2 linked regions of the Lytechinus pictus genome follow. The protein of the gene in region 2 purifies or fractionates together with the protein of the main gene of each other region. This does not show direct contact. Links are inferred from orthologs where the notes say so. Each region holds a gene or a part of one and is shown on either strand. Other genes may lie near its edges.

What was found. Proteins that work in one complex are often made in the same cells at the same time.
Region 1: the proteins of ATP-binding cassette sub-family E member 1-like (region 2) and protein LTO1 homolog purify together in Homo sapiens (affinity purification with mass spectrometry; 4 studies listed by BioGRID and IntAct, with this or other methods). This does not show direct contact. The link is inferred for Lytechinus pictus from reciprocal best matches to the Homo sapiens genes ABCE1 and LTO1.

What each region holds. Positions count from the first base shown.
Region 1 is NC_087263.1:4,631,376-4,638,644, forward strand, and holds the start of protein LTO1 homolog, read right to left. Parts: upstream 3,022-7,269; 5' UTR 2,940-3,021; coding exon 2,860-2,939; intron 1-2,859. UniProt on the Homo sapiens protein: The complex LTO1:YAE1 functions as a target specific adapter that probably recruits apo-ABCE1 to the cytosolic iron-sulfur protein assembly (CIA) complex machinery. May be required for biogenesis of the large ribosomal subunit and initiation of translation.
Region 2 is NW_026974140.1:13,119,938-13,127,891, forward strand, and holds the start of ATP-binding cassette sub-family E member 1-like, read right to left. Parts: upstream 3,018-7,954; 5' UTR 2,825-3,017; intron 1-2,824. UniProt on the Homo sapiens protein: Nucleoside-triphosphatase (NTPase) involved in ribosome recycling by mediating ribosome disassembly. Able to hydrolyze ATP, GTP, UTP and CTP. Splits ribosomes into free 60S subunits and tRNA- and mRNA-bound 40S subunits.

The DNA.
Region 1 (7,269 bases), on a different chromosome or scaffold from region 2:
ATTCTCAAACTTGGAGCGAGCTAACAAGAAAGGGGAAGGTCCTATTTTTAAAGTCTTTGGTTTGACTCGGCCGGGGTTCGAAACCCATGACATCTTGTTCATGAAGCAGGCGCTCTACCACTGAGCCACCATGCATGGTGGCTCAGTACACGCATAGAGATGGTATTATGTGTCTCTCAGAATTGCTTAATTTTAGAAGTTAAAGATAGGAAGGGTAACTCGGTAAATCAATATGCTTCAAGAGAGTGCTCATCTCATCATCTGCAATATAGAATTTGTCATAGGCCTAAACTAAAGACTTGGTGGCGACCATGGACATGGTAACATCGGAGTGGGGGCATGCCCATGCCAGACACGACCGCAGACTGGTCGGACAATTTAAACCGTGTTGAATTGCGATTTGATTGTCCAGCTGAGCGATAAGTATACTGAGATGGGGGAGGGAGGCGAATGGCCGTAGTCAGACACAATTGCTGACCAGACAATTGAAACCATGCATTGAAACCATGCATGAGGTGCACTGTTTCAATTGTCTGGCCGAGTCTAACCTCTAGATCCAATCAACATTGCAAAACGTTTCCTTGACAAAACAAAGGCAAAGTCAGGATGCTGAAATAGTCATCGTTAACGTTAGTATTTTGCAAAGTAAAATCAAATTACAAAATTGCTTTGTCAAAATATGCAGAATCTACTAGTTTAACCTACCCATGATTCTACATGTTAAGGTTTTTTGCAGTATTTTTCCTTCTAAAATTTCCTTTTGCAAAGAAATTAGAAATTTGTTTCAGTCTTTGTTGAATATCTAGGCCTATTTGTCTATTTTTTTCAATGTTAATTTTCAACGTCCATCTAAATATATATATCTTGTATAACTTTGCATTGTTGAAGCAAGAGCCAAAAATTTCCCGGTCATATTGTGATGTGAACAGGATTTTTTTATCATGCACAAGCATTGGCACGAAGCTCTATGTGGGAGTAGCATAATGTTTAAAAATAGAAGTTCCGAGCAAAGTGAGTGAGAATTTTTTTTTACCTTTTCATACTTGATTTTGACAATGTGACATTCAGAAAATAACATATCTTACATTTATTTTTTTGTCTGGAAAAAAGCTGGTCGTGAAACTTTTGGGGCCATGCTCCATAAGTCCCAACCCTTCCATTTGTAAGCCAGTGCCATGTGAGTGGGGTCTGGGGAGGAGCCCCGGAACCTCTCGAGATTAAGCCATTTTAAACTTTAAAGATGGCCGCATTTTTCAATGAAATCATGGATAGGGGTGATACAAAACACAATACTTCAATGCAGAGGCGTAATAAGCCAGTTCACGGTTAGCTCATGATCAACTTTTCTCTAATGACCTTTGTGATTTTTCATTAGGATAAGCACTATCATTTTCAAATGGAGATGTTGCGTAAGCTTTACCTGTAGAGTATTCAAATTCTATGAACAAAAGGCATTGTATAGACCAAGTGACTAGAATAGTACATCAGGGATAAAGTTTGGAAATCTGTTTTATTGTCTGCCTTTGGCACATTTGACTATTGTTTAGGCTACTGTCAAATACCAGTGATTATGAAAGCTCTATTTATTACTCTTCAGCTTGGATATGATAAATTTTTTGAAAGGAATACATGAATCATCATCAAATCACAAATGCCTGTCAGTGAATTTGAAAGCCACCTTCATGGTTGTCTCCAATGACCTTTTTCTGCTCGTGCGCAGTTTACAACCATGAACAGGCTTATTAACCAAACACTCTGAGGGAGCACAACATGGGAAATTTTCTAAAAAGTCACGAGCGAGCAAGAAAATTTTGGCCTTGTGGAAATAAAATTCTAAGTTATTAAATGAAATTAAAAGGGGCATGTCTAGCCCTTGGCTAGGGACATTGACATAGGCAATGCTTGGACAGCAACTAAGGAACCTCTTGAAGTTCAGTGATTTATTGTCCCGATTGCAATACACACGTGGATGTGATATGTGGTCATCCCCCATCCCATTCTTTCTTCCCGGTCTTCATTTTTAATCCTTGGCAGCCCGGACGTGCTCTTGTATTCTTCTTTATCTGTTTTCAATTCAGCTTTCCCCCAAGCATTTTACTTAGCTCATTCTATTCTACCTTATTTCCCTCGTTTCTTTTTCCCTTTTCTCTCCCTTTCCCACCATGAATTCCCATTCCATTTTGTCATCTCTTTTCTCACTCATTTAATAGTATTTCAGGATGATTTCTTCTTTCTCACATGTTCTTTATTACTTCCTTTTCATGCTTTTCCACCTTCCTTCCGATTTACCTATTTTAGTATTTACTCTTCATTTTCGATCTTTCCCTTTTCTTTTACTTTTTTTCTTAAATTCCCTTTCCCTTTCTTTCTCCCCTTCCCGGTTCCCCCATTTTGTTAATTATCCTGGTGAGCTCCGCCAGGAGGGGCAGAGTGCCCCCCACCTGTGTTACACACGTGGTCTTCGAGCTTTGCATTTATCTCAATCTCTAGTCTAGTCTAGTAATTTTTCTAGTCCACTCATCTGCAGCTGCATTCCGTTTTTTTTTTCACTGGCATTGGCAAACTGGCTGGAGCTGGCAAAACAAAAAAAGCAGGATTGGCCAGCATGGCAGCCTGTATGGAGGCTATCAAATGCAAGTGCACATATAAAATACATTCATGATAATCATAACGTTACAGATACAGAAGAAGAGAGATCGCATGCAAAGTCAAATACAAACAAAAAATAATGAATGACTAAAATGAGAGCCTACACAGAATTGAATATGTGGGACAAATACAAAGTCACAGGGAAAACACAGTAATAATAACAATTTTTAACTATAACATCGCAATAAAACGTCATGGAATTCAACAAACCTATTTTCTGCCATTACGACATTATCGAAAATGTCACTGTCATCACACATTGAATCGTTATCCTCTTGAAATTGAGCCATTTCAAGCTGCGTCTACGTTGTATCGTCTGAGAAATGAATGAGACGATGCGTGGTGTTGTTGTGGCAGCATGCAGCATGCAATGATCGAGGTCTTCTTCCGGGAATTACGTGCATAGTACACAAACCACGTGGGTTGAAATTGGCGCTGCGTGTATTATATGTAGGCCGGGCGGCGCTCTGGGGACGCGGGGCGAATCCCCCCCCCCCCCCCCGGTTCCTCAGGTTAATTACAAACATAACAAAAAAGCGAAGAAAATGAAGGGAGCATAAAAAATATGATATGTTTTGGCGGTATGGTTATTAAAGTGTGTGTGTTTGTGGGGGGAGCTATATAAGGCTGTGCAGCATGCAAAAAAAAACACAATCAGGGCTGAAGCCCCACCCCATTAACCCCGGTTCCGCGACATCTGATATATATATATATATATATATATATATATATATATATATATATATGTAAACATCTCTGATATCTCTGACTCGGGGACAATGAATAAGCGCTGGCAGCGGGCCGGGCGTTGATGGGCTAGGGGGCAAAGTGCATGGGGAGAAAATTATGCCCCAAACTTTGAAAGGCAATTATAATACAGCATTTTGCCCTCTGTTAGTGCGATGAATAGTTGAACAATTTGTTTTGTGCATTAAAAGTCAAAATAATAATAATAAATTCATCACAAGCCGCGATCACCCCTCCGTCAATCATAAGTTTCTAATGCTAATGCGAAGCGCGACGTGAGCGATATAAATTTTTAATTAAACATTTTACCTGAAAATGGGAAATGGAAAGATTGTTTTGTAGGAATAATAAACAGGGTAATAATGAGAGCTGATTTTTTTTTTTACATTCAGACCGGAAAATGCACGTGATGCCTATAAACCAATACAGCGAGCGCGAAGCGCGAGCTGAATCAGATCACATGCACAGAGGGGCACGACGGGTTGTGACTGAGAGTGCCCTCCTATTATAGGTATTATAGACATCATCTTTGCAGCCAACATAATCAATACCGCAAAGACGCTCATTCCACAGGATTCCACAACCCTCAGTCTGTTCCGATCGTTCTTATAGAAGTAGGGCCTAGCTACTCTAGCTATTATGTTCACATAATTATCTCAATCTGATTATCCTAAGTAGGTCATTAAAATGAGGAGATATTGAAAACTGGCTGCTAATAATAATAGCCCAAAGCACTAGCTTATTCTCACATTTTGTTAGATTCCTACAACGTCCTTCAAATCATTCCCTCAATCCAAATTGTTTCTTTATTTGTTTAGCGTCAAGGGATACGGGAGGTGTTTTTTCGTATCTGTAAGCACATCTCAGCCAAAGAATTTTGAGGGGAGCATGGCGTGTCTGACAAAAAGTTGTCAGAGAGCGAAGCGAGTGAGTAAAAATTTAGAAATTTTTATTATAAATATCAAATTTTGTGATAGATTTTAAAATAATAATCAGAGAATAATATTACATTTCGACCTTCTATTTTTCCTTTTCTTTCTCTCTCTCTCTCTCTCTCTCTTTTTTTGGGGGGTGCTCCAAGCCCCCCTCCCCCATTTGTGCGCCACTACATTCTCAGTTATTCATGATAGAAAAGGGGAACAGGAGTCTGTTGCAGAAAGAGTTGCATTTAAACGCAAATCAAAAAATTAATCGCAAGTCCCAAATGCGCGCTGTTGAATGGTTGAAAATCAAATTGCGCATGATTTTTAGAGTAACGATTGATTGCAACTCTTTCTGCAGCGGGCCCCAGAAAGGGTGGAGCCTAGAGGTAGATGATTTTATGCATACGGACGGACAGATCGATAACGTACGAAAAGGATATAAAGATATAGGGCTATTGTTATTATTATTATTATTATTATTTGTTTGACGTCACCAGTGCCTAGGAGGCTACAAATATATGGAGAATGGGAGAGGGAGAGGGCATTGATATGAGGTAGGAAGTCTTAAAATAATACTAAAACAAGAAATGATAAGAATGATAAGAGAGATATCAACATGAGCAAAAAAAATACAACAAAAGAACCCCAAAATTGAAAACTTTGGAGAAAATGAGAATGACCAGATGAACAAAAACAACAACAATTCCGTAACAAGAATACGGATAAACGGCATTTCTCATGTACAAACATTCTTTTGTTACATCTTGTCACGATAGGCCTATATTTTGTACTGAAGCTGTCTAATTTGTGCTTTATGTGTACATAAACTATACAAACCTTTAAATATTGTAACTTGGTTCGATTAAAAAAATGAAATACGTAAATCATTAAAAAAAGGTCGACTGAAATCGAGTGATCATCGATCAACATTGCATAGAAAAATAACAACCAGCGGAGGTGCCAGGATTTTTTTTTATAATATTATATTTTTATTAATATACAAATATTAATTTTGATTATTGTTTTATTATTGTTTCGGCCTTCATTATGCATTTAAAACATATGGCTTGTTTACAATAATTAAGGGCGCCCGTTTTTCTTTTTAAACAAGATTTACCTTTTAGTGGACCCCTAGTTGTTTTTATTTAAATGTGCGATTTACCCGAAGATGTGGGGTACAGTATAAACAGATCTATTTGGATTTTTTGTGTGTGAATTCTTGAAATTAAAAGCTAAACACTAAGAAATAGGGTTTCAAATTTGATTCCTATATAGGGATTAGTATAGCAGCTGCACCCCGCACCCATATAATGCAGGTGCATATTAAAATGATTCAAATTTGAACCTTTATTACCAAAGGAACAAAGAACAAGAAAAGTAATGAGAAGAATCATGTCCCCCTTTGGATTTCCGCCGTTGCCTCATAAAATGTTTAATTAAAAAACAAAATCCAAGGACACGGCCCGTCTATCTAGTCATTACTAATGGGTGCAATTATGCTCGAATCTGTGCAGCATATTACACCCTATATCTAATAGGCATGATTGGGTGCAGTGTTAAACCTTGCAATAAAGGTTCAAATTTGAATCATTTTATTATCCTGGGTGCAAGTAATAATAAAAAAGTGCATTTTGCACCTTTTTCCACAGTTAGGGCGCAAGGGTACACCCTATAGGAGGTTGGTTCAAGTGTTTCATTTATAGGGTTAAACAAAATCTTAGTGTGTATATAGGCCTTATATTCTAAATAATTAAGACGAAAGATATGGAAAACAAGACAAGAAAAGAACAAGAGAAGTAATGAAGAGAACCATGTGTAAGGATATAGATAACAACATGATGTCGGAGTAACCTGCAGGCACAGACCCTGATTGAAACTTTGATCAACAAGTGTGTCTCCACTCAAAGACTATAGCACATACATGTACAAAACTTGCTGTTTCGAAGTACACAATTTATTAAGGCACGAGTAGGCTGCAATCCAGACCCTTTACTCGAGTGAAGGGTTTGCACAGCAGACTAATGTCGGAGTGCCATATAATTAAAAAACCTATTAGCTATTAAACAAACTTTGAACCTTCATGTCTCGTGTTGATTACACGAATGATACCATTATTGCCTCAGTCACACTTACACACCAAACCTGCAAACGATTGCATTTTGGCCATCATATAGAAATCATATCGATACTCCTATCATTGGGCATGTCTCGTGGGGTGTGACTGAGGGCTCACCGGTTTTGCGCACTTGGCATGCTTGGAGAAATAAGAACGCCTTCGTTTTTGTGGTCTTTGGAAATTGACATGGGAAGCAATTAACTACACGAAACATTATCCAAACAAAACATCAACGCGGCCATATCGAATAATATCCGTGTACGATTCCACCAAGTTAATTCTTTGCTCGAATTTCAAGATCGCTTGTAGAAGATTAAATGTTATTTTTTGGCTTGCTATTTGGAACGTGAAATCAGATGGATCGGAGTGTTTATTAAGTCTGATGTAAGTAGATGTTAATCTCCTTTGTCGTTGCTTAGAAAATGAATTGTTGGGTTTGATCTCTTGGCTTATTGCAGAGACACGAGGATATTCATGAGAATCGCGTACGCTGATTTTTATTAAAACCACGATTTGAGGGGATGTGAGCAAGTTTGGAAAAAGCAATATACAAGTCGTGTAGGCTGAGTTGCCAGTTCTGCTGGCCCTGTTCTTTAGAAAGATTGGTAAGGAGCTGGACATAGGAGTCATAATATTTACAAATAGGGCATGTCCAATAAGGAACTCATCCTCGTGATATTTTGTTGTGGTTTGAAATGTGATTCTGCTTCATATTCGACACTGGGTAAGCAATTTCTCTATTTTTTTTGAAGGTATCACAATATTTAAAAGGTTTAGAAGGTACTCGAGAAATGGAAAGAATTTACAACAAACAAGGTATCGGCCACTTCAACT
Region 2 (7,954 bases):
GCTAACCGTGAACTGGCTTATTGCAATCTGATGACCACACAGGCCAAGAAAAAAAAGGTGGTATATTTTCAAAGCAGATTTTTTTTTACTCTCATCTCCCTTTCATTCAGCCCCTGCCCCTCACAATCCTAAATGAATTTCAATCCCAATCAAGGATCTAGTATCATGTACTCCAACGTAACTTGTAATTTGGGCCTTCACCACATTTCCTTTTGCCGTTTCCAGAACAAAGAAAAAAGAAAATATTCATAAATCATGAAATTGAAAAATTAATGAAAAGTGAAGACTACAATACCCTGACATTTTGTTCCCAGCTCTTAATTCACTCTGCAACTCTGCAGAAGTGTTATTCAATCAAAGGGATCTGATGTTTGGATTTTTAAGCAAATAAAAACTCAAACTTCTTGCTCTTTGTTTTTCTCAAAATTTATGCATTCTATATAAAAAATCATTATGAACATTTCTGCTTTGTAATATTGTGTGACATTACATTCAATTGATTAATGAAAAATTGACCAAAATGTTAATGAAATTGCCGCCTTGACCAGAGAAAACAACCCATCCGGTCATACCAGCGGCGTAACAGGGGTCGGTGGCCAGGGGGGGCAAGAGCCAAAAATTTCCCGGTCATAATCATGGTATGAACAGGCGTAATGGAGAAATGAGGCAACAATTTTTAGAGGGCCAGATAGGCCTATTGCGTATCAGCAGAATTGATCTTTTTAAAAAAAATTGCGAGCGAGCGAAGCGAGCGAGCACAAATTTTGACATTTTTAATCCAAAAATTCAATTTTTTTGATATGCAGAGAATCATATATATCACCTTTCTCTCTTTCCATTCCTTGTTTTCGTGGTCTGTACGCCACTATGAACAGGATTCTTTGCGGCAGTAACGTGATGAGTATAAAAAACAAACAAATGAGGGGCGCAGTATGGCGCATGTGTTAAAAAAAGCTGCTTAATATAAGTCCCGAGCGAGCGAAGCGAGCGAGAAAAAAAATCACCTTTTAATGAGAATTTAACTTTGAGATATATTTTTACATAATATTCAGTAAAAAAATTATATCCTACACTTTTCCTTTGCCTTCCTTTCCTCCTTGTTTTTTGTTCTTGGTTGTAGAACTTTTTGGGGCCATGGCCCAACCCTACCATACTCATATACGAAGTGCTATGCGATTGGGGTCGGGGGCGGAGCCCCCGAACTTCTTGATATCAAAGCCATTTAAACCTCGCAGATTGCTGCTATTTTTAATCAAATATCGCGGGTATATACAGAATATAGCTTTTACACAACACATTTATTCAGCCCAGTTGCGTAATGAACCAAATATTTTGAGGGGGGGGGGGCAATGTGGGAATATTATTTTAATAAAAGTCGCCAGCGAGGTAAGCAAGCTGGAAAAAAAGATTGCCTACTGAACTTAAATTCTAATTATGTGATATATAGATTTTTTTTCATTCAGTAAATAACAAATTTCATTGTTTCCATTTGTTTCATTATACGTTGTCTCCTTTAATTTCTTTTATTTCCTTTGGGTTTGGAACCAAGACCCCCCGGGCCTGTACGCCATTCATTGAACGTAAAGCTTAATGTAAGAAGGGTCCCTACAGGGGGAAGTTATATAGAGCCATTTGAAGGTTATAGATGAAGAGCCCCTACTGCGTGGGGTCGGGGCAAAGCCCCGGTACCTTATTTGAATAAAATTTAGCAAGCTTACAGCGCAATGTTGTATGCAGTCCATCTTTCTTCCCGCTCTTCATTTTCAATCATCGGCAGCCCGGTCGTGTTATTAAGTGTTTTGTTTTTCTTGTCCCTTTTCTTCGTTTTCCACCTTCAGCTTTTGACTAATTCCCTTCTAACTTCATTTCCCGCTATTGTTTGTCATTTGTCATCTTTTAATTAATTTCCCATCACACTATTGCATTACATAGGCCTATTTCGGAATGATTTATCCTTTCTCAAATGTTCTTCTTTCGTTCCTTTTCCCGCTGTCCTTCCTTCCTATTCTGTTAAAAAAATATATATTTATCTTCGTTTTCTTTTCCATTTCCCTTTCCTTCTCCTCCTTTCCTTTTCCCCGTTTCCCTTTCTTTCTCCCTCCCTTTTTTCTTTTTCCCGTTTTTTTTAATTTTTCCCGGTGAAATTCGCCAGGGGGGGCAGCTTGCCCCCCCGCCTGTTACGCCACTGGGTCATACAACAAACGGAGACTCATGATACAGGGACTCGGCTTCGTACAACTGCAAGAGACACCTTGATTCTACTTCTAGGTTAATTTTTTTTAGAATTAGACCTAGTCATCTAAATTTGATTTAGATTTTAGAGTATACTTTTTTATTTCAAATATTGATAAAGATCTACGTCGTAGCCATACGCAATCTATGCCAAAACAATTTTTGAAACTAAAAAAATATCAGCAAATTAAAAAAGGGCGTAGATCTAGGCCTAACGTTAATCCCTAAAATATTAAAAACACTTTCATAACAATTCCCACCCCCCGGCCCTAGGCTAGCATGCCTATAAATTTCTTCAATAAACAATGCGGAACGTCAAGAATCATACTGCCTTTTACTGGCTAAAAACTGGACTAGATTTATGTCTAGTCTACACACAAAGATAGTGCATGGTGTTGCACCATATAGTGCCAATAGTACAGATCTTCACCTCCAGTGAACATTGCCGCTGATTAACCCCCATGCATGGCCATTCATTCATTCATTCATTCCACATCCATTTCCCACACAGAAACCGCGCGATCGCGCTCCTCGGCAAATGATGCCCACAGGACAATTATGATCAATTCTCTACGCACTATTCTTCGCTTACCGTATAAAATAACAAATTTTCTTTCTTCCTCTTACTCTTATCCTAAGTTGGCAAAAAATGGTGCACGAATTGCCGTTCTTTTATGGTTGTCTTGCAGATAATTTACTTCCAGACTGCTCGAAGTTCTTGTGACATGACACCATACTAGGCATAGCATGACACACACATGTGTACATTTCAATCACCGAAAATTATCGAGAGATGGCGCTCTTTAACAAAATTTTGGAGAGCCTATGTTCAGAGGAAAGACCACGGGGGCGGCACAGAGGGCACCTTGATGGGATGGGGAGGGGTGGTCGGGGGAGGGCAAGACGACTTATATGGGACGCCAACATTTTCTCCATTGAATTATATGGTTATTATAACGTAACACGACCCAAGCCTCTCCTTTTCATACTCTTCGATCCCTATATTTCCCTTCCCCTTTTTCGTCAGTCCCTCATTTTAAATACTTCAAAAATCATAGGTGCCGATCACCCCTGCTCCCTCTGTGGCTACATCCCTGCGTTTAGACCAAGTTGATGAATATAAACCGTTTGGACTGCCCTGCTCCCGGCAATCAATTGATCAAGGCGTCTCAAATTTCGATCCTTTGAAGTTTTATTTGAAACTTTGATTGCCCATTAACTCTGCTTTCATTAGGAAATAATATGGTAAGAGGCTATTCAAATTAGGGAGAAGAAAAATGGACACTCATCACTTTATGTTAATAGGCCTATATGATCTGTTTCCTGATTATTGTCCCTATTTTATTCCTCTATAAGATATGGATCACTGATTTTTTTTTTTTTTTTTTTTTTTTGGGGGGGGGTCAGTGGCGTAATAAACCAAACTTTTGAGGGGCAAGATATGGATTATGCGGCAAAATTCATAAAAAAGTTGCGAGAAAGGGAAGATAGTGAGCTAATATTTTCGACATTTTTATTCCAAAAATCTGATTTTGTGATTGATTTGACATAATTTTCAAAATATAATATCACATTTTACCCTTCTCTCTTTCCTTAGCCCCCCCCCCCCCCCTTGGAGGTGAAAAATTGAAAGACGGAGCCCCAAGCCCCCCCCCCCCCCCACAGTGTGCGCCAATGGGGGGGGGAGGGTCATTACTATCATTAATTGAAAACCGGAGCAGCTAACTATGAAAGATTTGAGATTAAACCAATCTATCAGAATTTTGTACGACACTCAAACGTCATCCCCATCATAAAGGACGATCTCTGCTATACAGTGCGTATCCAAAAAAAAGTTTACACTTAGAAAAAATCCTGTAAAATTATACATTTGTAATATCCTGAAGATTTTTCCTCATTTTAACATTGGTACAGATCCATTTAAGGAAATGACGATATAACTGTTGAAAAATATTTCCGCTTGAGTGAGCACCACTTACTTTTGAAAAGTTAGTGAAACATGATTTGCGCAGAACTTTGAAATAGTTATGCGAATAAAAGTAGACCTTAATCATGAAGAACACGTGGAATTTAGCAAGTAAAATTGATTTGAAGATATATTTTAGCTTTTCAAACTTGTTTCCTTGCCCAAAACACTTCGAAGAGTGTATCGCGCCCCATCCCACTCCCCCACACTCCGAGGTCATTGTGACGATATTTGCTTTACACTGAGCTGTAATTTACATGATTGATTGATTGATTGATTGCATTTATTCTTTTTCATGAAATGGCTAAGGCTTGATTTTCATTTTGTTAATCATTGTCAAGCTTGGGAAAAGTGTGGAGAAACAAGTATTTAATGAAAAAAATGAAATGTAACCCACTTTAAATGATACAAACTTAAGTAAAAAAAAATGCTGGAGATGTCTGATATAAACTTTGTTCAGATTCAGTTATGTCCTCAGATCCAGCTGGCACAAAAGGGGTAAAGGTTGTGCTTACTAAGTGTTGAAATTTCAATTTGGGTGGCAATATTGTTACAAAATTCTTGAATGTATCCGTTTTATTGCAATTCACTAAAAGTGGAAATGTATGAGAAATGTGTCGCAGGGTAAGTTTGATTTCGCCCGGAAACCTTGACACAGCGTGAAAACAAGCATTTCTGCGCAAACAGATTTCTGCGAGCTTTACAAAAATCGACAGTGCTCACTTAAGTGTAACATTCTGTCAAAACCTTTACTTTCATCGGATAGATAAGACCCAAGCCCAAGATTATATGTGAAAAAATTACCCACATGTTGTATATTTTTTAATTCCCAGGTCATTTTCAAAGTGTAAACTTTTTTTTTATACGCACTGTATAAGCCAGTAGCGTTGATTTAATTTCCAAGGGCGAGTGGAAAGAGAAAATATTTTTTTGAATTCAAGTTTATTGACGTAGATTTTTAATATGTAAATACAAAAACATGCTTAGATCTTAATGATGTCCGAGTGAAAGCCACGTTAACTGTGTCCTTATTTTCGGAATTGATGGAATGCGATCACAAACATTATTATACAACAATTTGAGTGGATACCTTATCAGAGGACTACCAAAATGGAATGAATTCTTTTGTTTGAATAACAAGAAACAAATGTTTTTGACATGATACTTTATCTGTAATTAGAAATTGTATTTCTAATCTTGATGAGAAAGTGAAACCAGTGGCGGATTTAGTAGCCTATAACCTAGGCGGAGGCTGCAGTTATTGTCTTTGCTGTTAAGCTGAACGCAAGCGATACGTCTGATCTGGAAAAGACTACGCATTGCATTGACCGTCGCAGCCACAAATGCGTAGTCTTCGCAAGATCAGACGTATCGCTTACATTCAGCATAACAGCAAAGACAATAACTGCAGCCTCCTCCTAGATTATAGGCTACGGATTTAGGGATGCATGACCCTTGCTCCAATCAAACAAGATTTTGGTATACTAACCCCCCCCCCCCTCCCATGGGTTAACCTTATGACGGATTATACACCCGTCGGCGATCACTGATTTTTTAACCCATCCCGAAACGCATTATCGGTCAATACCAGGGGGGGGGGGGGGGAGTCATTACTACCATTAAGTGAAATCCAGAGCAGCTAACTATTAAAGGAGAACGAAACCCTTGAAACTAGCTGAATCCATATCAAAGAGAAAAATAAAAGAAACATATTGTTGAAAGTTTGAGGAAGATTGAATGAATAATAAGAAAGTTATGAGCATTTGAATATTGAGATCACTAGTGCCATGTAGATCCTCCCATCGGCAATGCGACCAAGATCTGTGATATCACACACGTACAACTCCCTCATTACTTTAGTACTTATTTCACTTATATTCTCACTTTTATAGAGTCTATCACAATGTTAGGTGTTTTCTTTATGAGATGAAAAGTACAGAGGTTTCACAACATTATCATTGATGAATCGTTTGTCATATGATTAGAATGAGCAAAAAGAAATGTTTTGGGGTATATTTTCAGTGTCCGAATGGGAGAGTTGTACGTGTGTGACATCACAGATCTTGGTCGCATTGCCAATGGGAGGATCTCCATAGCATTAGTGATCTCGACATTCAAATGCTCATAACTCTTTTATTGCTAGTCCTATTTTACTCAAAGTTTTGTTGATCTTATTCTTTTATTTTTCTGCTTTCACAAAAGCTAACTTGCTCCAAGAGTTTCATTCTCCTTTAAAGATTAAACCAATCAAACAGAATCACGGAGAGGTGCGGTGGCCAAGTGGTCTAAAGATGCGCCCGAATACACCACGGAAGTTTCGGGTTCGATTCCCTTGACCAAGGCAATTTTATATACATTGCTCTTTTATCTTACATCAACTTTATGTTCAATATACTAATCACTTGGTTCCACGCAATTTCACTATTCAATACGCAATGCCTAGCTTCATGACCACAATACCGAAGATTCCAACAATTTTTACCTTAGTAATCCCAAAACAGTACTTGCTTATAAATCCATTTGACATAGAGGACCCAATGTTTGGCACTCATTGCCTCATAAAATAAAAGAATGTTCTTCGTTTTATTCTTTTAACGTAAGCTAAAAGATATATCATAAAATATCATATGACTCATAAATTTTCTTAAAGTGTATTTAGATCATTTATATATTGTTACACTGATCAGTTTCCGGTGGGGGAGGGGGGTTATAGGACCCCCGTACATTTTTTTCCTCATGTTTTCATTTGAACCTAATTTCAATGTATGTATTGCCATAATCAGTGGCGTAACTACGGGGGGGCATGGGGGCACGTGCCCTCCCCCCCAATCAGCTGGCCCCCCCAAAAAAAAAACGGGTAAAAGAAGAAAAAGAGGGAGAAAAAAAAGAAAAACGTATGTTTTAGTGAGAGACAACTATAGTTGTGGGGGATGAAGAAATTATTGTATATTATATTATACTATGTTATAATATATTTATTACATTGTATTATATTACATAAGAATATTTTTCATAACTTTATGAAACATAATTTGCTTAGGGCCTATGTGTTCATCATTCCTGGTGCTCGCATTGTCTGTTTAATTCCTGTTGTACTAAAACATCCCGGTCAAGTCAATATATACACCAAATAGGCCTATAGTTCCAGTTATTATTGTTTTACGTAGTGGCATAACATTATGCTTCTTTTTCATGATTACCTAAAGTGATTGCACCCTTTTAAGGTCTGAATATAAAAAAATTCCACTAACGTTCGCGTTAGTGGATTGGTGAGATATGTTAGCTCTTCATGAATTCCTAAAAAAAACAATTCTTAAAACGTCCCTTTTTCTAGTCTGAATCAGTGGCGTAGCTACGGGGGGGGGGGCCTGGGGGGCACGTGCCCCCCCCCCCTGAGATTTGGTGTGCCCCCCCCAAGTGCCCCCCCCCCTGAAAAAAATTGGCAGAGCAAAAAAAAAGGAGAAAGAAGAAAAAAAAAGGAAAAGAAGAAGAAAGACAGAAGAAAAAAAGAAGAGGAAAATAAGAGGAGGAAGACGAGTGAATGAAATAATGTGAAGGGAAGACTTGCAAAAAAAACACAAATCTTTCATGTTACTATATAAAACTTTTGCTTGCGCTTCGCGCCAGAATTGCCTGTTCGATGAAATTCATATCTTGCTCAATAGGCTGATATGGAGCAAATTTTGAAGTCAAAATACAAAATATATTTTAGCTTCGGACATCGAGCTCTCATCATTTTTTTTTTCATTAACAAAT